Linked DNA regions of Xenopus tropicalis. The protein of the gene in region 2 purifies or fractionates together with the protein of the main gene of each other region. This does not show direct contact. Links are inferred from orthologs where the notes say so. Each region holds a gene or a part of one and is shown on either strand. Other genes may lie near its edges.

Region 1 (6,253 bases), on a different chromosome or scaffold from region 2:
ATATGGGATATTATATAACATGAAATACTGAGAGTAAATTTAGTCTGCTAAATCCTTGTCTCCATCAACATATGCACTGTCTGATATTAATCTACATCTAACTCCCTTTGTTTGTCTTGATTTCCTTGTTATACTTTACTTTTCCTAATGATTCGTTTTTGTTTTTTTCTACGCTGGCATCAGCCTTTCCCTATGTCTGCACCTGGAGCCTTTGTGCCAGCCCAGGTGCAGGCACACGGAGAGGATTTTTGGTGCAAAACCACGCGAATATGCATTTCACAAGGAAATCCGCTCCTTGTGCCTGTACCTGGGCTGCCTCAAAGGCTCCAGGTGCAGGGATAGGGACAGGCTGATGCCAGCTTAGAAGCCGATTCTGGACCTGCATTTATCTGTGACAGTGTTTCCGGATCATATATATGGTTTTTCCTTTGCATGGTGCAGCAACAAACTGTGTTCACTGACACTGGTTTTTGGAAGCATTCCTGAGCCAATGCACTTGCACCAATTGCCACTATAGAATTGGGTCTGTATTTAATGCAGCACCACCTGAGGGAAGTTTACAGCTAACCAATATTGACTTTTGGCCTTGTCCCTTGCGTACAGAGATTTCCTGTATTCTCTGAATCTTTCAGTGATATTATGTACTGTAGATGACGTTATTCTTGAATTGCTGCAATTTTAGCCTGTGTGGTGGTTCACAGAGTGAAAGAACCAAGCCTCTCTGCGGTCCACTCTTTTTAGTATTACATTACTTTTCCACTCTTTTGTTGGCCCTGTCCAAACTTTTTTGAAATGTGGTGCTAGTATCAAATACAAAACATAGTAACATAGTAAGTAACATAGTAAGTTGGGTTGAAAAAAAGACATACGTCCATCACGTTCAACCATAATGCCTATATCTAACCTGCCTAACTACTAGTTGATCCAGAGGAAGGCAAAAAAAACCCATCTGAAGCCTTTCTAATTTGCCGCAGAGGGGAAAAAATTCCTTCCTGACTCCAAGATGGCAATCGGACCAGTCCCTGGATCAACTTGTACTAAGAGCTATCTCCCATAACCTTGTATTCCCTCACTTGTACTAAGAGCTATCTCCCATAACCCTGTATTCCCTCACTTGTACTGAGAGCTATCTCCCATACCCCTGTATTCCCTCACTTGCTAAAAAGCCATCCAACCCCTTCATAAAGTTATATAATGTATCAGTCAGTACAACTGATTAGGGGAGGGAATTCCACAACTTCACAGCTCTCACAAGCATATATTTTTCAGAAAATAATAATATTTCTTGGCATTTGATATGTTATCTTTGTACTGTTTACATTTAAATATAGGGTTTAAAGGGGATCTGTCACCCAGACATAAAAAACTGTATATATTGTTTAAGAAAAGGTCATTTTAAAATACAAAAGAATTTAAAATTATTTTATAGGTCCCCTTTAAAGAGATTCTGACACCTGAAATGAAACTGCTTTTTAAATCTATCATAACACGGCCTTTCCAAGCTATTTATAATTTTGCCATTAAAATACTTTCTGGTGCTTTTTTATTACCTATCTGATCCCTCATGTCCCTTTATGAGGGTGCAGCCATATTTGTGCAGCAGCATTAGAAACTATAACTTACAGGGTTAGAAGGGAGTCAGGGTTAGAACTTCAAGTAACAGTTACTTACAAAAGCAAACCTATTAATGAAAATCATAGCATTGTTTTTTTTATATTTTATGCAGTGTCCCAATGTTTTTGGAAATTGGGTTATAATTTATGTAACGATTTACTGTATGCATAAAAATGATATTTTCAGAAGTCACCTTGAAGTTCCATGACTTGTTTAAAGCATTCAGCCTCCAGCCTCCTGCCTTTACATCACATCACAGGACTTCTTGTTGCCTTATAATATCTTCATAATAATAATAACAATAGAGGGTATGTAATTCCATATGTTATCAATAAAGTACATAAGATATGTAGAGTGATAGTATGTAGAGTATTGTATATTGATTTTCATTGTTCCAGGAAATTGGGCCAATGACATGAGCAGACAAGCAGGTCTAAAGAATGTACGCAGCCGCTATCTGCAACAAGCTCTGTAACTGGCAGCCAATAATGTTCTGGGTAACATAAAATACAAATATAAAGGCAAAATAAAACAAAAAAAGAGACATACTATTAAATATGAGACTAAAATACGGTGCCTTGCAAAAGAATTCAGATTCTTGACAAATTCTCCTGGTTACTGACTGAAAATAATCCTATGCTGAAACCTTGTTCTCTGATATTTTTTATTTCAACGCACAAAAAAAAAATAACAAGCAGGGCTGATTCACTAGCAGCGGCAACACAAACACGTCTGTTTGTAAAGCATAAGCATCGAATCATACTTGGTCGTACCGATAATATTTGTGTATGTAGGCACATAGTGCTACTTATATACACAGAAACACATTACTCAGATGGGGAAAAATAAAATAATAGGAATATAAGTTAATACAAAAAATAAAACTGCATTCCAGATTCAGTGCTATTTCTTACCAGACAAAGGAAGTTAAACACAGAAAATAATTTCCGACCTGGCAATGTATTAACCGGCCCAGAAAACTAACCAATCACGAGCACCCGCTCTGACATTACTTCCACCAACCAGCTAACGTCTCTCAGTTTGACTCGGCAGCTTTGCCTGATAAACTTTACGCTTGGGTTCGGCGGCGGGGGGTCTCCTGGGATGGGCGGGTTGCGGTGACGACAGGGCGTCACTAGCCAATTGATCTTCGCTTTCACATAGATTGACGCTGCCCGTGGCCAATTGTTCGCAGCTTCTGGTATTTCCTGTATAGTAGTTTTTAATATGGCGAAGACTTACGATTATTTGTTTAAACTGCTACTTATCGGCGATTCTGGGGTCGGGAAGACGTGTGTATTATTTAGGTTTTCAGAAGATGCCTTCAATTCAACCTTTATATCCACTATAGGTGAGTCTGAGTTGTCGGGTGGGGAGCAACTGGTGGGAGAAGGGGATGGAACAGGGGATGAGTGCTGGGGTTTTTTTTGTGGGTATACGTACTAAGTATGGGTATGCCGGTCTGAATATACATTAATACCAAGGGAGGCATTCTTCTATTGTCTGTCTTTGTAGCATATAGTATTGAACATTCAGCATATCTTTCTTGTTTTATAACTGTACGTGTCAGTATACAGTAATATAATTCCAATAGAGTTACATTATTTGTTTTTACCTGAGATAAAAATCTGTAGTGCTGATGTATGTATAAAGAATATGATGAACATTTTCCAGCAGTTCCTATGGGGTTTATAAAGCGCTAGTGTATATACATGGGCAGAAGGGAGAACATCTCAATGAATACACACACATTAAGAGCTATAGCTTGTCATTTGTAACACAAGAAACGCATGTATGCCTCCTCTGGTCCCTTATAGAGTAGAACTTTAGAGATGTCAGTCCTGTGTCATCAACAGCAGACCTATATTTTTATTTTATCACTGGTTATGATCCTGGTAGTGTAGCACCTGATTAGTTGAGGGATCTATTCCAGGTAGTTATAGCTATTGTAGAGACTACAGTGATATCATCTCTTCTGATGAACCTTTGTACTCAGTGACGGGCTGTGTAATAAAGGTGAGACTTTGAATGAAAAGGGCATTTCTTCTATTCTTATGGGTGTTAGTATGTAAACTTGCTTTATATGCCTACATTAATGCAAAGGGATAACTGGCAACAATACATAGCATATTCATTTTTTATGTTTTTACTTAAAGGGGAATTTGATTAAAAAAAAAAAAAACAAATGGGCTTAGATTATTTTTTAATTAGTTTCTCTTAAATAGCAGCTACTTTATTCTGAGCAAAAAACAAAAATCCCCTCTCCATATATTGGTCCAGTTTGTCACATCTTTAGTGGGAACTGCATACAACTTTGCCTAACTAATGCAACATCCATAGGTATCAATTAAGGTGATCATAAATGGTTCTGTTCTGCTGTCCTGTGACAGTGTTTGAGATAATGCAATATGCAATTGCAGCCCTCATTAATATACAGGTATGGAATCCCTTATCCAGAGAGCGCCAAATTATGAGATGGCTCTCTCTCATAGACTACATTTTAATCAAATAATTCAACACATTTTTAAAGTGTTTTTATTTTCACTGTAATAATAAAACAGTGTTTTGTACTTGATCCCGACTAAGGTATAATTAAACCTTTAATGGAGGCAGAACAATTGGGTTTATTTAATGTCTAAATTATTTTTAGTAGACTTAAGGTATGGTGATCCAAATTTCAAAAAGATCCCTTTTTCAGAAAATACCAGATCTCGGGCATTTTGGATAACAGGTCCCATACAGTAAAACAAAAATACTTAATATTTTCTGTGTTAGATATATGGCCTTATAGTTTAATGTAAGGGATACCCTAAACCCTGGATTCAGTTTGGAATTCAGCTGAAGTTTTTTTCCGAAGGATCTGGATTCAGCCGAATCCAAGTGCCCGGCTGAACAAAATTGGAACCCTTAAAATCACATGACTTTTGGTCACACACGTAAGGAAACTAGTACATTTTTTCCTCATGCTGCATGCATGGTTCCTTTTAGACAAATTAGGGTTTGCTTTTGGTTCAGGATTCGGCCGAATTCTTCATGAAAGGTACAGGAATCAGCCTAATCCAAAAATACATTTTTACCTATTTACTATAATAGATTAAAAGTAATCTCTACTTATTAAAGCTGCTTATATTACATTTAGAATGATAACCGGTATCGCCCAGGGTGATCCCTAAAAGCAGTTTTGAAATTCAGACATGCTTGTTCCAAAAAATCATACTTCACAGAAACCCCAGTATTTTTCTCTAACATGAACACTTCAATAGCGGAAACAGTGCTTTGAGGTGTTAAAGAAAGTGTGCTACATCAGAAACGGCAACCCTTTGGTCTAAGAGAGAAACTAGACTGGCACCTGCTTAACAGAGACGTGGCAGTTTGTCACACATTCCTACTTGATTCTTTAATGATGATAGCCGACTTCATTATCTGTAATGAAATGGGGATTGTAATTAGTGGAGTTGTAAAACAGCCAACATTCTGAGAGAGAGCTTTTTTTTTTTTTTTATTTCTTTTCCTGCATGAGCACTATATGTATCAGGTGACAAAGGCTCAGTGAAAGGTGCACTATTGTATTTGGGAATCTCTAAAGTAATGAAGGTGTTGACATAATGAACTGCCTGTATAATGTTAACCCTAGAATCATATTATATGTTTCAAAAATGCTACTGAAGTAACAAATGAAAGCAAATATTTCCTCCCTGACTTTTTTAGATGGGGATGATACTTTTTCATATTAGAGTGAAAAAAACATTTCCAAATGATATTTAATTACAACACTGTAGTATTCAATTTATTTTCCCTAGGAAACATCTGGAAAAGCACTAAGGTGAAATCATATTGCTGTAACAGACCCAGCTGGCAGCCTGTTGGTGCTTAAATGAGGCTAAAACACTTGCCTCTTGAATAAAACCTCATTGGGAAGCCTGGGAAATCCCATCAGGCAAGCACTACAACTGGCCATCCTTTCCCAGCATATCCCATCATGAGATCTGATCTTAAACTCGATCATATCAGTATGATTTGACCCAACGCTTGGATGGCCAAGTTGGACATAGATCCTTTGATGTGCTAACCTATCCAAGCAAACATTTTGAATTTGTAAGCACAGCCCTCTTTACCTTATGTATCAGTCAGAATATGTAGTACAGGTATCGGACCCCTTATCCGGAAACCCGTTATCCAGAAAGCTCAGAATTACGGAAAGCCTGTCTCCCATAGACACCATTTTAACCAAATAATTCAGAATTTTAAAACTGATTTCCTTTTTCTCTGTAGTAATAAAACAGTACCTTGTAATTGTTCCCAACTAAGATAGAAATAATCCTTATTAGATGCAAAACAATCCTATTGGGGTTAATGTTTTATTGATTTTTTTAGTAGACTTTAGGTATGGAGATCCAAATTACGGAAAGACTCCTTATCCGGAATACCCTTGGTCCCGAGCATTCTGGATAACGGGTCCTATACCTGTAATATGAATTATTTTTAGCAACATTTAAAGAAGAAAGGAAAGCATCATCACTAGTGGGTGCTGATTATGATGGCTTATATGAGATCCCGTTTATTTGCTAAAAGCTTCACGGGCCTGGGGTCTGTAAGAGCACCACCCTGCCATCATCTTCTTTCTCCTTGGAGCCTATGT
Region 2 (6,204 bases):
CACATTTACTAATCCAGAAACGTCCGAAAAGCGTCCGAATGCGTTTTTTCGTAATGATCGGTATTTTGCGTTTTTTTCGTAAATTGTTGCGACTTTTATTAGCCATTACGACTTGCTCGTAAATTGTCGCAACTTTTTCGTAGCCATTACGACTTGCTCGTAAATTGTCGCGACTTTTTCGTAGCCATTACTACTTGCTTGTATATTGTTGCGACTTTTTTGTATTGAGCGCTTGTAAACAGCGGGCAAACCTTTGCGACTTTGCATGATTTTGGAAGTCTCCCATAGGACTCAATGGCACTCTGCAGCTCCAAACTGGCCCAAGGAAAGTCTCCCATAGGGCTCAATGGCACTCTGCAGCTCCAACCCGGCCCAAGGAAAGTCTCCCATAGGGCTCAATGGCACTCTGCAGCTCCAACCCGGCCCAAGGAAAGTCTCCCATAGGGCTCAATGGCACTCTGCAGCTCCAACCCGGCCCAAGGAAAGTCTCCCATAGGACTCAATGGCACTCTGCAGCTCCAACCCGGCCCAAGGAAAGTTTCCCATAGGGCTCAATGGCACTCTGCAGCTCCAACCTGGCCCAAGGAAAGTCTCCCATAGGGCTCAATGGCACTCTGCAGCTCCAACCTGGCCCAAGGAAAGTCACCCATAGGACTCAATGGCACTCTGCAGCTCCAACCTGGCCCAAGGAAAGTCACAATACTGAAGCTTGAATGACTTTTTCGTAGCCATTACTACTTGCTCGTAAATTGTAGCGACTTTTTCATAGCCGTCGTGCTGAGTATGAAAGTTTCGGATTCATTCAAGCTTCAGTATCGTGACTTTCCTTGGGCCAGGTTGGAGCTGCAGAGTGCCATTGAGTCCTATGGGAGACTTTCCTTGGGCCAGGTTGGAGCTGCAGAGTGCCATTGAGCCCTATGGGAGACTTTCCTTGGGCCAGGTTGGAGCTGCAGAGTGCCATTGAGCCCTATGGGAGACTTTCCTTGGGCCAGGTTGGAGCTGCAGAGTGCCATTGAGCCATTTGGGAGACTTTCCTTGGGCCAGGTTGGAGCTGCAGAGTGCCATTGAGCCCTATGGGAGACTTTCCTTGGGCCAGGTTGGAGCTGCAGAGTGCCATTGAGTCCAAAATCATGCAAAGTCGCAAAGGTTTGCCCGCTGTTTACGAGAGCTCAATACAAAAAAGTTGCAACAATATACAAGCAAGTCGTAATGGCTATGAAAAAGTCGCAACAATTTATGAGCAAGTCGTAATGGCTACGAAAAAGTCGCGACAATTTACGAGCAAGTCATAATGGCTACGAAAAAGTCGCGACAATTTACAAAAAATCGCAAAATGTTCGTTTCCAATCTGATTTTTTCCCATTCGGGATTCGGATTCGTGGTTTAGTAAATCAGGCAAGAAGAACTGAGCTGCATGAAGTGCAACTAATGGAAGTACAAAGAGTGAGTAGGGCAAAGACTGCTGGGAAATCTTCAGTACCACAAAGGCACTTTTCTTTTTTGTACCTTGTCATGTCATTTCTACTTTACTCCCAAAATATAATTTTGCTTGTCTCCAGTATTCGCCTCATGCTGTGGCACACCAATGAAATAAACCAGTATCTCCCAGTGACGTACTTTTTCTAGACAATCCCCCCCTCAGTATTTCTAGATAAGATGTTGTCAACACTTAAAAATAATTTACAGAGACCAGTAGTCAGCTCTGCAAACTATGGGCATTTGGAAAATAGAATTAAAACCAGGGGATGTCATTCATAATTTGTTCAATTAACAAACAGTACAACACAAGCCAGCAAAAAAATGCGTACGTTTTCATAGAACTTTAATTAGACTGCTGACCAAAGGGCGCGGCCTATTACTAACAACGTTAAAGCAGAAACATAACCACGTATCACTGCCCTGCACCTCCCTTTCCTTCAGCGATAAACACTGAGATTTATACACTAATCCGCTACAAAAAAAATATTCTCCCCCCTCTGTGGTCCCCTCCCACCTACGAAGCCTGACTAATAGGCGCTCACAGTTGAGTTACAGCTACTTTGTGATAGGTCCGTCAACACGTCCGTCAAACGTTTGCCTAATCGGGAATAACGTTACTACATTACCACCGCCTATCCTTGAACTACTCCAATAGGCTTAGGAGACGGGCTCCTGATACGCCCTCCTACCCGCGGAGACTGCCGATCTCGTGCAATGTGATTGGTTGGACGTTCCTTGAGCGTGTTCGGCCTGTCTAAAGGGCTGTCAGTGCGTGTGCGCACCACCTCACTGTGTCAGCGCTTCCGCATCCGCCAGCCGTATTCCGTGAGCGCATCCCTGATTCTTGCTCGACTCTCTCGGTGCCCGGAACATCATGAATGAGGAGTACGACGTGATCGTGTTAGGCACCGGCCTGACGGTAGGCACTAATAGTATTTCCTCTGGAAGTGCCAGCCACACCCCCGTTTATCCAGATCCATTGCCTGGGTGAGGTGGCCTGCTGGCAAGGCCCGTAGCCTGGGGACACTCCCTTGCAGTTCGGCTGTGCAGTAACCATGGCATATATTTTGTGCGAAACAAATGATTTGTTGGTTTTCCAATCAACAGGGCGCAACCAAAACAGCGTTATTATTCTCTTTGGTCATGGTTTATGTCATGTGAAGTCTTGCTAGGTAATTGCCCGCTGTGAGCTAATGCCATGGCCCTCTCAGCTGCTGCTTTTGGGCAGTTAATGGTAACAGGATGGAGGTTCGAATGCTCAGTCTATTCAATCCTGTTGCTTGTGCTTGGATCTAAAACTCAATTCATTAACAGCCTTTGCCTATTTCACTGCACGCAACTAGACTGAACTAGAATCCCACTAAGCTTAGGCCAAAGGGCCCATTAAGTGCTGCCAATGGGGGAAATATTCAGGTTATCCTTGCTAAGCAAAACAGGTTTTAATCTAATACAGGTTTAGAAACCTTTACAGTTTGGCATGTGTAGGGTTTATTGTGGCTCTCAGTTTTCTAAAGCTACCACTTCCTTTATAAGCTATCTGAAGTGTCCCAGGAGTTTCCATGTACTTCCTTTGTTGAGAGTCACCAAGTAGGGAGCTGAAGGAAACACTACAACATACATCTATGGGAAGCGGATTTAGTGTGGGCCTGCAGCCACTCAGGTGCTATGAAGAAGGCTTAGGCTTTTCAGTCCAGACATTTTTATATAAGGTTATGTCAATGAATTACTAAACTGCCAGCCCACACTGTCAGCTGTTTAGTGCTGCCTCAAATTACACTGCCTGTGTATGCCCCAAATTCAGCTGGCGCACCTCAAGCGGTTGCAAATCTTTTATCCCACCACCATTGTACCAGATTATCTTGGCCTTTGCATTACAAACGACATGCACACACCTGGGTGTGGTTTAAATTTAAATGCTCTTTCCATTCATAAAGCCAGTTGCTGACAGGGTGGCTATATGCAAGAACAGTACTAAGGTAGTATCTCCATCAAACAAAAAATCCTTGAATGTCAGATCTGCTGATTGCAATATATGTGATTCCTTTGTGGCCTTTTTGAGCCCTGATCAGGGTAGGTTCATGGACTGCCATTGATTTGCTCACAGACATCCATCAATATTCTTATTGGCTGAATGAACTATATGTTCTATATGATCTGTATGTGGAAAATTGTTCAGTTTTTGGGTTTAACCCAATAATGAGCCCAGACTACATGATTTATCTTCACCTATTTTTTTTTTTTTTTGTTTCAAGCCCTCAACCATAGCTTAAAATAAATTTACAGAAGAAATGTTATAGTTCCAGTAAACTGAATGCACCATACATATTTACCCCCAAATTTCAGCTTGATAAAACTCTAAAGTATGCCTGAAACATCAGTTTGTGGTCTTTGCCTTGATGTTATAAATTTTATCATTCAAAGACTTTGAGAAACACTATCCAAAATTGTTGGCATTGCTGCCTGTGGATAGTGACACGTTGTTTGCACCTATTTTGACAGACACTCCAGTAAGGTGCTCAGTGTCGGTTATTTGTTATATTCACTACCAGATTGGTACTTAAATAGACTTCATGCAGTTCTTTTCTATACATTGTAGTGGCCCACCCTCTGTAGGCTGAAATTGCAAAGTAGAGACATGATTAAGCAGTAGGTAAAGACCCTATTGTTCTGTAGGTAATGCTCAATCACCAGAATGGCAAAGAAAAACAGTATAAATATATTTATCATCAGTGCACCTAAATGGCTAAACACAAACTGTCAGGCCAAAGTTTCATCTGATAATGGACATCTCCATACTTTTATTTAATCACCTCATTTTGTGTATGTATAACCCACTTGCTTACAGAAACGTATGTTGCATATATCATTCATCCCATTTTTTTTTTGTAATGTTTTACCACTCAATGGCTACTGCATTTTTCTGAACACACATCTTGGTATGATTACCTGTTGTCAGTGGTGGTTAGCATTTTTTAGGCAGGTGTATTGCTCTTTTGGTCATCATGCTTTGATCCACTCTTCTGCTGTTCGCCGTTGCTTATTTATACACTCATGCCTGCTTTGCATCCATGGGTGTATAATATATATATATATATATATAAGTAATGGCGAGGCACTGACTTAGTTTTTCGGTTAAGCGCAACACTAACTTGCAGGGGTGATAGTATCAGTGGCACCTGATACTACCTTCCTGTACAGTTTTTGTAAAGCTATCCTTCAAACAAACACAGTGCTATTTACAATGACAAGTTTTAGTATTTAGAAAGAAGTTTTTACTTCCAGGTAAAACTGTTCTATTGTGTTAGTCAAAAAGCTATAGGATAACATTTTTGATATGAAACATAATTACTGTAAAGGTGAAACCTATATTTGCAAACTAAGATGATAATCACAACAAGTTTTTAGAACTTTTCAGTTTTTTTTAGCTGATTTTATGTGCACAGCTTTTATGAATAAAAATGTAAAGATATAATGTGATATAAAATAATAACATTGTAAATTCTCTATGTATGAATGCTTGGTAAGCAACATGTCCAAAAAGTAACTTTAGCACAAACGTGGAACCTTCTTTTAATCCAAGTGTTAGTAGTGCCCTAGTCCATTAGATAGCATGTGTCACTTTGTGTTGCAGCCCCCTTCTTGCCACTGTCTGTGTTCCAAAACTGGTTTCTTTAGACATATCACTGTTAGATACTGAATACAAAAACCTTCACAGCCCTGCACGCAAATTGATTTTTCAGTCTGAATCGATCAACAGTGATATGATTTGTTGAAACTGATATTTGACATGGCACAAACAACCAGACTGTAAAGTGGTGATCAGAATTGGTCAAAGTGCCCACCCAAACCTGAGCATGTGTGGCCAGTTTGAGTCTTAGAAAAATGCATAAGCAGACCATGTGGATTGGGAAAAATAAATGTTTAGCTTGATTTATTTATTAAGGATTTTTTCTTTTCTACCTCATGAGTATAAAAGAGAATGCTGATTGGGGGTCTGGGAAGGAAATATTAAAGGCTAATGACATAAGTACTTAAAATAGAATGGTTCCTGAAAGGCACTTTGGATTTCCATATAATCAGGTTACTCCTCATGACATCTGGATCGTTGATCAGCCAGGCCTAATATACTCTATATAACACTGACCAGCATTAACATTACATATGTTTAGGTTACTTAGTAGGGTAAGGACAGTCCTGCTACACATTTGTAGGTGTGAGAGATGCAGGGTGCCTAAGAGTGGCCCTGGACCTATGCCTACTTAGTAATGGTAACGCTGTACAATTATGGTGGAGGCCCAAGCAATCTGTTAAAATAACCTGCTGCCTTTCCATTTAGCTGAATAAATGTTTTTGCTTTAAGCTCAGTAAACCCAATTTCATTTCCTTTCATGTGCATTTTATCATCCACTCCCCATTTTAGACTTTACAAATCACTAGTTTTTTTTAGGTGGCCACATTAAAAAATGGCTCCGAAGATAGGCTCTTTTTTCACTATCACAATTGAAGTACAGCGTGCATGTGCACCTGGCCATATTCATTGTTTATTCCTTCTTGTAACAAACTTTTCTTCAAGTCAGAAATATTAAATTAAGCTTGTGCTGAAATACTTTTCCTGTTGTTTTAATTAAGAAATAAGATGTATTTCTTTCCCAAAACAGGACAAATACTAAAACTGAAATCTCTTAATTTCTGTGGTTTTTCTTGAGAAACTGAGGGAGGAGGAAA
Region 3 (6,010 bases), about 38 Mb from region 2:
TATTACTTATCTTTATATTCAGCCCCTCTCCTATTCATATTTCACTTTTTCATTAAAACCACTGCCGAGTTGCTAGGGTAATTCTTCCCATAGCAACCAGATACCTACTGAAATTGTGCAAATTAGGACAGATATTATACTCAACGTCATACTAAAAGTTAATTTAAATGTGAACAACCCCTTTAATTAAATAATTCACATTTTAAAAAAAAAAAAATATTTTTCTTTGTAATTATAAAACAGTACCTTGTACTTGATCCTAACTAACATAATTAATCCTTATTGGAAGCAAAACAATCCTATTGGGCACTTGTATATTTTCAGCAAGAGGCAGAAATTCTCACCTGTAAGGGTTTGGATAGCGCTGCCAAAAAGCAGCAGATACTTGGTCCCATGAGTTCTTCAGGATATTAAATCCTGAGAAATACTTCACCATTGTTCCCAGTCACAGTAGGAATCACTGTGTCAAACAGGGCAGGCTGCTGGAACCATCAGAGGCCGGCAGTGAAGGGGGGGTGTGGAGGTATCCTGGCAGGAACCGTCTGTAGCCAGCTTGTTGCCAGAGAGTGTCTTTCCATTTGAGGGGGAACTGGAAAATACAGGTTATGGGTAAGTACTATGTTTTAGCTCAAAGGAAGTGTGAAGTGATACACAGCTTCTTCCAATTGTGTGGCAAGAAATCACATCATTACCCACTATAAGCATAAATAGATAAACATGTTATTCACTGCCTGGTGTACTAAGTATAACTCTATATGCTAACAATACATACATTTACACCAAATATATTACAAATATACAGACACTTTAGAAATGTGGCTAGCATGGTGGGGCAGTGTTTAGCATTCGATAGCCAGGGCACTATCTGCAAGGAGTTTGTTTGTGCTCCCTATGGTGGTGTGGGTTTCCTCTGGGTACTCAGTTTTCTCCCACACCCCAGATACATACAGGTTAACTGGCTCCTGATAAAATACACCAGCATATGAATCTAAAGGGTATATTTATCATGCTGTGTAAAAAGTAAAGTGAAGCATTACCGGTGATGTATCCCACGGCAACCAATCAGTAATTAGATTTCAACTGTTAGAAAACCAAAGCATCTGATTGGCTGCTATCAGCAACATCACCTTTTCAGGCCACTTTTTACATGCAATGATAAATATACCCCTAAAGCTGGCCACACACGCACCGATACTATCGTATGAAACCTCGTTTCGTACGATATTCGGTGCGTGTATGGCATGTTGGCGAGTCAACCGATATCGCAGGAAGCTGCTGATATCGGACGACTCGCCGATCGGGCCGGTTAGAAAATTTTGATCGGGCGCCATGACCAAAATCTGCCGTCAGGGCTGAATCGGGAGAAGGAGGTAGAAATCCTATTGTTTCTACCTCTTATCTGCTGTTTCAGCCCTGACTGTGTGTGGCGGATCTGACGATGTTTCATGCGACCGATGGTCGCACAAAACATCGTTAGATCGCCATGTGTATGACCAGCTTAAGACTGTAAGCTCAGCCATGCAAGGGTCTGAAGTCTAATCTCTGTAAAACACTGGAGAATATGTCAGTGCTTTATAATAATGTTAGCCTCCATCAATTCCTCTATCAATCTAGTGCAGAGAAAATGAAAAAAGCAACATTGGTATTTTATTTCTTCCACCCAAAAACAATAATCTGATTTTATTTTAGGTTTTTAGCCTGTTTTATCGATTGGCAACTCTTTCAATAAATGCTCATACTTTCTGAAGTTAATCCATTTTGCATTAGTGCCCAGCTGTTGGGTGCATGGGTGCAGCGTATACAGGTTATGGTGCACCTCACACAGTTAGGGACTTCATTAAAGTGCCTGCAGAGTTCCTGGGGGAGCCCGGCACCTCGTACAGCGAATATATAATAACATCTGGAACTCCCTGCAGATAGGAGGCTAGCGGATACTGTCTGAAACCAGGGAGATTAAGTGACAGGGGCAGCGCTTTAGCCAATAAATATCATTCTGTAACATTGCACCGCAGCTCTGGATTAAAGAAAGAAATACAGAATCGCAGTGAAATTGACAAGGTCTTATAAAAGAACCAGCTAGTCTATTGCGTTTGACAGTGACAAGGTGACACCCCCTGCCATCCGCTTACCCGCCTCATTCGGACACTCTCATCTCCCCAGCGCCGCCATGAGGGTACAGTAGGACATCATGACGCTTCCGGGCTTGGGAACCGCATCTCCCACACACGTGACCGCTACACATGTACTTCCGGTGGCAAGTGGCAGCCCTTGAGCAGAAAGAGGAGAGGCCTGGGACGAGCAGGCGGGCACTACGAGCAGGGGGTGGAGCCGAGCCAAGGCAAGGCTTGCGGTGGGCGGGGTAAATGTTGCAGGGCGGGGCTACCGTACAACACTGACAGATGAGAGAGGCCGCAGTGGGAACTGCTACACGATGAGATACGGGTTGCTGCGTTAGTGACCTACACAAAGAGGGGTGAGCTTTCACATATCTGACTGGGCCTACTGAGGTTGAGTAATGCCATTTTATAATGGGGGAAGTCTAGGTGAAATCTATTACCTACCTCTGTCTGCCTGCTGCTGTACTACGTTTCCCAGAATTCTGTCATAACCTGGTGCTGGGGGAAAGCGTGCGAATGCATTGGCCTGTATACATATTCATGGAATCAGGTGGTGGCAAAGCTTGATAGTGATTTTATATATATAACATATTTATATATCATTCTATCCCAGGTTGTATTGGGCTTTGGAGCTTTTGTTTTGCATGGCTAATGTTACACTCCTTCCTTGGTTAGAGTAATGAAACCAGTCTCCCATTCTAGTAAGATCCCAGGGCTTTGTATTCATTTAAGTCAAAATGTCTGTTTTCTGCTTTGTTTAGAAGCACTGTTACTGACTGCACCTTTCTCTCTAGTGGTAAAGTGGCCAGACAATTTAATTAAAAGCAACTTTCTAGTATATATAAAACGGTTTCAGTGATTTCAAAGCTATTTGTATTAGGAATCACTTCCTCCAGCCAAACCTTCTCTTCCCACAGTTCCTGGCACACTTCTGTTATTCCACTTCTTTCCAGGTCTGTTAATCACAGAACATACAAGGCATTGTTGAAATAGGAAACTTGGGCGGAGAGCTGGCTAGAGCTGGCTACCGATACAGTGTTGCAATGGGAAGAGACAGTTCCCTAGAATTAGATTTTCTTTCATTATGGAAAAACTTTTGGGTGGACATTCCCTTTTATAGAAAACTGCATACAATCCCTAATATTGAGTCTAATATACTTTCCCTTTTTTAAAATAAGTTGGTTATAGAATTAGATAGCCGCTTTCTAGTTCTAACAAAATGATATTGATATTTAAGTTCCTATCTTACGTTATAGCAATAACTTATGAGCCTAATGTAACTCATTTCCTTTGCTCTGTTTAAACAGATGACGTTGCCCCTGGGCGCTCACCACACTGGACAATTGCACTTACTGATCCAAGGGACAGTGCTTTGGTAACAAGGAGGACAGCATGAGTGGGCAACGTGTCGACGTTAAAGTGGTGATGCTGGGAAAAGAATCAGTTGGGAAGACAAGCCTTGTTGAGAGATATGTGCACCACCGCTTCCTGCAGGGACCGTACCAGAATGTGAGAGCAGGCGTAGTCTACAAAATTAGCGAATACTTGTATTAAACCAAAAGTGAAAGTAAACCTCAGTCTATTCACAACCAACCTTTTGAAGCATTACAATTCTTGGAAAGGATTACACTAACAATGCACTTCCCAGTGCTTAGTTCCTGTTACATTGAAAAATGTGTGCTGTAAAGTATTTTATATGAAATCACATGGGGGTAGTACAATAACAGATGGTAACAAATTAACCATCAAAGTTACTAGCTTGTTGCTTGAAAGGAGTTGCATAACTAGACCTGAAGAAAACTTTGCACCAGTTATTATATCACCCCTATCATGCATAGAATCTTTATAGCACTAATTCTTAGAGCTGCTGTGGTGAACTCTAACTCTCAGTGGTGAGACCAAGCATTTTACCACATGATACTGCTCAGTGCCACCCCATGATTTTAACTGGAATGGCATATGCCTGACACTGTGCACAAAGGGGACGTTTCAGCCTGAAACTGCTCTCGTGTACATTTTCCCACAATACATTTTATTTTAAAGGTGATGGCTGGTATGCTCATTGGAATGTTTTTACGATAAAATACTTGCATTTTGATGAAAAAAATCCTGTGAAACAAATGCGAGAAAACTGATAAAATGCCAAGAAAAGCTCAGGACAGTGGATTCCATGATGCAAATAATAAATCTGCTGGTCATGATTAGAAATCATCATATACATATACAGCAAATGTATATTTCAAGGAAAAAAGCTGGAAACTCTCAAGGAACACTTCCTGCAGTTCATGACATTTTTACTTGTTCCTTAAAACTAGCTAAAGCATGGTAAGGGGATAGACAAAAAAGGAGAACAGCTAAAAGTTAAGTCAGTAGTGTTTGCTGGAGATGGCTATATTGCTTCTGATAGGAAAAGCCTTTTGGGTAGGGCAAAAGGTCTGCCAACAAAAAAAGCCCAGAGAAAGTAACCACAGTCACAGAGCAGAAAATACCTTGGCATTTTTGCATTTTGACAACTAAACACAAGCTTGTATATTTGCTATGAACTGTACTACGCACAAACCTATAGCAGAAATAGGTTTAATTGGGAAATACCGGTAAATGGCTATTATGCTGTATGTTTTGTCCATTAAAGAAGAAGGAAAGATGTATCCATTTGGGGTGCAAAATGTTAGGCTCCCCCCCCAGTGATTGTAATCACTTATCTGATACCCTGGGCTGGTTCTCCATTTAGCAGAAAACACCAGCAAGCAAGCACCATGGAGTGATCCTCCTCTTCCGCTTCTTCATATTCAATGGTAGGCTGATGCATGCACAGTAGAGTGAAAAGGTTGACTTTATTTATTAAAGTTCTGCTTTTCACTCTATTGCGCATGCTCACTTACTCGAAGAAGGATGAAGCAGAGACAGGATTGCTGCACAGTGTTTACTAAAAAGTACTCTGGGCTGGTGCAGTTTTCTTGTAAATGGAGCAACAGCCCAGGGTATCAGGTAAGTGATTACCAAATGTTAGGTGAAATAGACTTTCCTTCTCCTTTAAATAATAATGTGATAATCACCTTTAGGCCTGTAAACAATTCTAAAGATATATGTGTTTATTGTTAGTTATGCATGTTTTCTTTAGTTTGATATAATCATTATTTTGCTTTAGACCATAGGAGCTGCATTTGTTGCCAAAACTATGTACGTGGAAGGACGCAGTCTAACATTGGGAATATGGGTAAGCATTATGTGCCTGTATAACAGGGAACTCCAACCTTTCTTACTCATGAGCCACAGTCAAATGTAAAAAGACTTGGGGAGCAACACAAACATCATAAACATTTATAGGGGTGCCAAATAATGGCTGTGATTGCCTATTTAGTAGCCTCTATGCATAATCTCATTTTACAGGAGGCTCTCTTTGGTAGTAAATCTTGTTTTTATTCAACCAAAACTTGCCACCAAGTCAGGAATTAAAAATAAGCATCTGCTTTAAGGCCACTAGGAGCAACATCCAAGAGGTTGGTGAGCAAGATGTTGCTCATGCGCCACTGGTTGGGGATCACTACTGTATAATAAAGTAAGTTGTGCCAAACACATTTGTGATGTCCCTACATTTTTCAGGACACTGCTGGGTCTGAACGTTATGAAGCCATGAGTCGCATATATTACCGAGGGGCCAAAGCTGCTATAGTTTGTTATGGTAAGGACTTTTTCAGAACTGGTGTGCTTTATTAGTTAGTGTGTTGGGCCTATTAGAATAATTATGATGATGATGAAAAATGATTTGTGCTTGAGTAATAGAGAGAGCGTTAAAAATAATACCTCCTGATTTAGCTGTAGTTATAAGTGGTATAGCAGAAAGATCAGTAGTGGGCCCCTGCTGTTGGTTAGAAAAAATGTTTTCTTTTGTT
Region 4 (6,218 bases), on a different chromosome or scaffold from region 2:
TGTGGCACCTGTATATCATGACTCATGAAAGACATAGCTAGCCAGCTCCCTCCAGCTCCCCCCAGCATCCACCCAACATCCTCCAGCTCCCCCCAGTGTCCTCCCCAACATCCTTCAACTCCCCCCAGCAAGAACCCAAAATCCTCCAGCTCCCCCCAGCATCCACCCAAAATCCTCCCCAGCGTCCCTCAGCTGCCCCTTACCTTTCTCCAGCTGCCTCCCAGTGTCCTCCAGCTGCCCCTTACCTTCCTCCAGCTGCCTCCCAGCATCCTCCAGCTGTCCCTTACCTTCCTCCAGCGTCCCCCTGCATTCTGCGTCTCCTACTGCTCCTACCACCCCCTGCCCGCTTGCCGCGGCTGTGCCCTGGCTCTTCTTCTCCTCCCCATGACGTCACACGCATCTTTCGTTAGCCCCGCAGCTTCTGCACAGTGAATCCCTAAATGTTAGAACTGACCTGTGCGGCGCAGAAGCTGCGACGCTAACAAACGACGCGTGTGACGTCACGGGAAAATTTTAAAATCGGGACAAATCGGTGGCTGTCCGGGACAGCGGGAAAGAGACGCAAAATTGGGACTGCATACCCCCCAACTGTCCCGCTTTCCGCGGGACAGTCCCGGTTTTTAGAGCGCATCCCGCTGTCCCTGATAGTTCCATGAATGTCCCGCATTTCCGTAATAAATTAGGAAATGCGGAACATTCATTGACTTACCCAGGACAGCGCGATGCGTTGGCGCTCCTTCTTCCCCAGCGGCTCCTCAGTGTATGCGGCTCCTTCTCCGGCGGTCCCTGGCCCTTTTATAAGTTGCGCCCGGTGTGTACGTGTGACGTCATTACGCACGGGCGCAACCTTATAAAAGGGCCTGGGACCGCCGCAGAAGGAGCCGCATACACTGAGGAGCCGCTGGGTACGAAGAAGAAGGGAACGCTGTGTATGCGGGGGGAGGGGGCTGTCTCTATTGGGGGCACTGTGTATGGGGTGGGACTGTCTCAATTGGGGGCACTGTGTATGGGGGGGGCTGTCTCTATAGGGGGCACTGTGTATGGGGGGGCTGTCTCTATTGGGGGCACTGTGTATGGGGGGGCTGTCTCTATTGGGGGCACAGTGTATGGGGGGGACTGTCTCAATTGGGGGCACTGTGTATGGGGGGGCTGTCTCTATTGGGGGCACTGTGTATAGGGGGGGCTGTTTCTATTGGGGGCACTGTGTATGGGGGGGCTGTCTCTATTGGGGGCACAGTGTATGGGGGGGACTGTCTCAATTGGGGGCACTGTGTATGGGGTGGGACTGTCTCAATTGGGGGTACTGTGTATGGGGTGGGACTGTCTCAATTGGGGGCACTGTGTATGGGGTGGGACTGTCTCAATTGGGGGCACTGTGTATGGGGTGGGACTGTCTCAATTGGGGGCACTGTGTATGGGGGGCACTGTCTCAATTGGGGGCACTGTGTATGGGGTGGGACTGTCTCAGTTGGGGGCACTGTGTATGGGGTGGGACTGTCTCAATTGGGGGCACTGTGTAGGGGGGGCACTGTCTCAATTGGGGGCACTGTGTATGGGGGGACTGTCTCAATTGGGGGCACTGTGTATGGGGGGCACTTTCTATGGGGGGCATTGTGTATGGGGGCACTGTGTATGGGTAGTACTGTCTTTTAGGCTATTGGGGGCACTGTGTATGGGGGGGCAAACTGGTACATAGTTATAACTCACTTATAACTGACTGCCTTCTCTCTATATTTGTATTTTATATGTAGGAGTTGCTATATTGTTTTCCTTAGGTAGTACAGTATGAGGGAATAGCACATTTGCGTCTGATCCCGCCATTTCTACTATATAAAAGGAGAATTTTTTGAAAAAAAAATGGATGGGGTGTGGCAATTGGGTCGTGGCCACAAAAGTGGGCGTGGTCAAAAATTGCCATGCTGCACGCACGGAATCTTTTTGTCCCTCTTTTCATTTTTCAAATGTTGGGAGGTATGGGACTGTCCCGGGTAAAGCGGGACAGTTGGGAGGTATGGCGTTGTAGTTACGCACGATCAGGGGAGGATGTCGGGCGGGGTCCCCTGTGGGGGTACAGAAGACTCGTGGGGGCCCTTGGGGCAGTAGCCCTGGTGGACCCTGCACCCCCACTCCGACCCTGAATCCGTCTAAAGAAACCGATATCGGCAGCTAGAATCAGCCTTTGTATTGGCCACCATTAGTGAGGAGGGGTGATAGCATGCCCCAAGCCACTTCAGGAGGGAACAATGTGCCAGTAGGCCAGTAATAACGATGCCCCACTTACAATCAGAAATATGAAACTGCTATTCAAAGTAAATGGATTGTGCTGCCAAGTTGCACAATAGTCCAGCAATAAATTGTTTCTCATGGAAATAAAACGCTGAACACAGTATGAACATAACAACATATGTTTGACAAAAAGCACGTTTTCTTCTGTTATTGTTTTTGTGAGGCAAAGTGGTCTTTTATACTGCCTTCCCGACATCTCAAGTCCCCAGGTAATATGGCGGCAAGGCGGTGACACAGCAAATCACGTGGTGTTTTTCCTTTTACTCCCTTCCTTCTTCACGCCCCGTTCCGTTTTAGCCAATAGGTAATTAGGAGGAGGCGTTGACGTCAGGCGCCCCATGACAGGGTGTCACTTCCGTTGGGAAGAGAAGGGTTGGCAGGGGTAGGAAGCGGAGACAAGCAGCGGGCCCGGCGTATAGTATCTGACCGGCCCGGGACATCCAGACGCCACAACAACCCACCCGTAGCAGGTGAGAGGGGCACTGGGGGTTTGGGCAGGGGGCACCTAGTCGGGGGGCTTAATTCAACCCAGCGCCCGACACTAGCGGAGGCCTGATAGCGAGGCCTGGGCAACACCATTATGGTAGTGTTCGAAAGGCACCCACCCTTCCCCCGGCAGGTAGCCCTGATTGTGCTGCTGGGCCTAAAGGCGAATGGCATCATGTCGGGGATGCTGAGTGAGATAATACAACGGCAGCTGGGCTGGCACCGGGACGGTCCCTCCCAAGGCATCCGTGGGGCATAGGTGGTACATCCGTGGGGGATAGGTGGTACATCCGTGGGGCATAGGTGGAACATCCGTGGGGCATAGGTGGTACATCCGTGGGGGATAGGTGGAACATCCGTGGGGCATAGGTGGAACATCCGTGGGGCATAGGTGGAACATCCGTGGGGCATAGGTGGAACATCCGTGGGGCATAGGTGGTACATCCGTGGGGGATAGGTGGTACATCCGTGGGGGATAGGTGGTACATCCGTGGGGGATAGGTGGTACATCCGTGGGGGATAGGTGGTACATCCGTGGGGCATAGGTGGTACATCCGTGGGGCATAGGTGGTACATCCGTGGGGCATAGGTGGTACATCCGTGGGGCATAGGTGGTACATCCGTGGGGGATAGGTGGTACATCCGTGGGGGATAGGTGGTACATCCGTGGGGGATAGGTGGTACATCCGTGGTGGGGGGATAGGGGGTACATCCGTGGGGGGATAGGGGGTACATCCGTGGGGGGATAGGGGGTACATCCGTGGGGGCATAGGTGGTTCATCCATGGGGGCCCTCGCCATTGATGAGACCGTTCTATATTTTGTTATGCTTCGGTGTATTAGGGGAGGCCAGTGTTCTAAACCAAAAGGTAAGGTGGGTTTCCGATGGCAGCCGTGGCCCCTGCCTGTGGCTCCCCAGCTGTGGGAATCAGGGATCTTCACTCTGTTGCTTGACAGGAACCACCCTTGCTTGAGCCCTTGGGGGGGGGATATTTGGAGCAGTAGCCCAGTAGCAGCCACAGCAGTAATGAAGATATACTTTGTTTCTATTCTCCTTTTTTGATCCCCACCCTTTCAGGCTTCAGCTTTTGTTCACATGTTTAATAGTGTCCCCTTTACTCCTCCCTTCTCTCAGCGTTATGTGTCTGCAACACTTTATTGCTAAATGTCCCTCATCATCATCACTTATCAGTCTCCTTCCTCGCCATTCCACTATAGTATTACCCAGTATTTATAAAACATACAGTATACAACCCCACAGTGGCTCATTATTGTGTGTCACCCCTATTTCAGGGCTGTTAATCTATAAGGCCACAAGCCTTAATGAGCTCACTTGCCCTGTTTATCTGTGTCCCTGCTAGCCAGCTAGAATGCACCCTGTTTTATGCATTTATTGCATGATTGCTAGAAATCAGGTTGATAATTACCCAGTGTGTTATTGAGGCTGACGATTCACCTGCTGTATAACAGTGATTATTTCATCTTTCTTTTTTTACCCATTTCTAAGCCCAGCCCACCTGTGTAATCCTTTCATTACCCCTTCCCACTTTCTGTTCTTCATTATGCAACATTGTGGAATCTGTGTACCTTTTCCAGTTTCTCAGCTGCCTTTCCAAGTCCTCATGTTCCCTCTTCTATTTCTCTGTCATCTGCTCTTCCTCTTTCTCCAACAATTTGCAAATACGCTACCCTCTTCATACCCCTGATGGTATCCGCTCACCTTCCTCTTCAGCCCTTCCTAAATGTTTTTTCCCTTATTACTTCCTCATTCATTTTGTAATTGCTAACCTCACTCCTATCACTGTTAACTGCCAACTAATATTTTTGTTTGCATTATTCAGATGCCATAATGTCTGAACACAGAATAAACAGGGTGGTCCTTATTATTCTTTAATGCAATTTTATATATTAATTTACCTTTTATTGGACATTATTTTCACCTTTTGAAGTGCTTGTCTATCTCTTGTTTATTCTCCACTTCTCTGCCCTTTGGCAAGTAGGGTAGTTAGCATTTCCTATTTAAAGAATATATATATATATATATATATATATATATATATATATATATATATATATATATATATATATAAAATATTTTTTTTTTTTTTTTTTTTTTTTTTTTTTAAATATCCATAAAAACCACTATAAACAGTCCCTATAGTAAGTCTGTTGTATTTTGTAAGGGCTCATACTCACAAGTGTTTTTTGCGTGTTTGCAAATGCATGCTGAGTGCAAAAAAACCCACATATATTGGGTTTATATGTGTTTTTTTTAAACGCACCTGTGTGTTTTTGTTGGTTCCAAACAACCCTCTATTCTAGTGAATTATGAATGCACGTCAATAGCTAGAAAATGCATCATGTTAAAAAATTTTTTGGGTGAAACGCAATTCTGAACGCTCGTGCGTTCAACCAGGCAAAATATAATGGAATCAAGTAGAAAATGTGTTTAGGTGTGCTCAAAGATGAGTCTCAAACGAACATCAAACAAATGTACCCCAGCAAGAGACTGCTCCCCTTATTAATACCTTACACTTAACTAGTCTTCTTTTTCTATATACAAATGACTTGTGGCATTATTATATCCCTATTGGCTCTAATCACACTTTCACCTTTTTTCTTCATGTTAATGTGCTGTATAATGGTTTGATGTTTTTCCTTCCCTGGGTGATTGATACATGGTGTCAGTATATCCTGCTACACTTGCATATATCAGAATAAGATTTACTTTTGGCGTGGTTGTTAAATATTTTTTTCCTCACTAGTTTTAGTACAGTGACGTTCTGAGATAATTAGCATTTGGTTTTAAGCTTTTGTTTTGTTGTTTTGTAGTTTTTGAGTAATATACCTTTTTTAAGCAGTTCTCTAGTTTAACATTTTACCCCTTTATTTGATTCCTAGGGTTTTTATTGAGTCTAGCAGCAGCCATGCATTATTTGAATATCAGTCTGGAAAAAGAATGGAAAGAAAAGTCATTGAAATTAACAATAATAAAACTGTAGCCTTACATGACAACAGTGTTTTTGTTTTATTTATCTTTTTGCAGGGGTCAATGACCCCCATTAGCCAGATAGCATTTTAATTTGGAAGCTGGAAAGATGCAGACATTCTTTAAATAACTAAATAAATAAAAAGGTGAACTACCCCTTTAATGCTGTTAATATGCTGCTTGCATTTTCTCATTGCCATACATTGTGAGTGATTACAGCTTCTCTCTGACACCTTTCAGTTAATATTTATTGCCTTAAGAACTTACAGTCATGCATTATCATGCCAAAGGTTTTGCCATTGAAAAATGGAAACTGTTATTCAGTCTAGATGAAACAGTGATTATATTCTGTACTCTATCCTAGTGAAATACAATGTATAGAACACTTCTGGGGGCTTTAAAAAAATCTTTTGAAGGTGGCACACAGTCCTTGGGTAAAAGATCAGCCTTCAGTGATT

Evidence for each region. Proteins that work in one complex are often made in the same cells at the same time.
Region 1: the proteins of gdi2 (region 2) and rab8a purify together in Homo sapiens (co-immunoprecipitation; 5 studies listed by BioGRID and IntAct, with this or other methods). This does not show direct contact. The link is inferred for Xenopus tropicalis from reciprocal best matches to the Homo sapiens genes GDI2 and RAB8A.
Region 3: the proteins of gdi2 (region 2) and rab24 purify together in Homo sapiens (affinity purification with mass spectrometry; 3 studies listed by BioGRID and IntAct, with this or other methods). This does not show direct contact. The link is inferred for Xenopus tropicalis from reciprocal best matches to the Homo sapiens genes GDI2 and RAB24.
Region 4: the proteins of gdi2 (region 2) and rab7a purify together in Homo sapiens (affinity purification with mass spectrometry; 3 studies listed by BioGRID and IntAct, with this or other methods). This does not show direct contact. The link is inferred for Xenopus tropicalis from reciprocal best matches to the Homo sapiens genes GDI2 and RAB7A.

What each region holds. Positions count from the first base shown.
Region 1 is NC_030677.2:104,416,225-104,422,477, forward strand, and holds the start of rab8a (ras-related protein Rab-8A), read left to right. Parts: upstream 1-2,686; 5' UTR 2,687-2,841; coding exon 2,842-2,965; intron 2,966-6,253. UniProt on the Homo sapiens protein: The small GTPases Rab are key regulators of intracellular membrane trafficking, from the formation of transport vesicles to their fusion with membranes.
Region 2 is NC_030679.2:84,457,237-84,463,440, forward strand, and holds the start of gdi2 (rab GDP dissociation inhibitor beta), read left to right. Parts: upstream 1-2,304; 5' UTR 2,305-2,353; coding exon 2,354-2,398; intron 2,399-6,204. UniProt on the Homo sapiens protein: GDP-dissociation inhibitor preventing the GDP to GTP exchange of most Rab proteins. By keeping these small GTPases in their inactive GDP-bound form regulates intracellular membrane trafficking.
Region 3 is NC_030679.2:46,179,675-46,185,684, forward strand, and holds the start of rab24 (ras-related protein Rab-24), read left to right. Parts: upstream 1-2,443; 5' UTR 2,444-2,473; intron 2,474-3,424; 5' UTR 3,425-3,509; coding exon 3,510-3,626; intron 3,627-5,265; coding exon 5,266-5,334; intron 5,335-5,720; coding exon 5,721-5,799; intron 5,800-6,010. Other genes in the region: prelid1 (PRELI domain-containing protein 1, mitochondrial), read right to left, coding at 345-436.
Region 4 is NC_030680.2:135,593,905-135,600,122, forward strand, and holds the start of rab7a (ras-related protein Rab-7a), read left to right. Parts: upstream 1-2,651; 5' UTR 2,652-2,756; intron 2,757-6,218.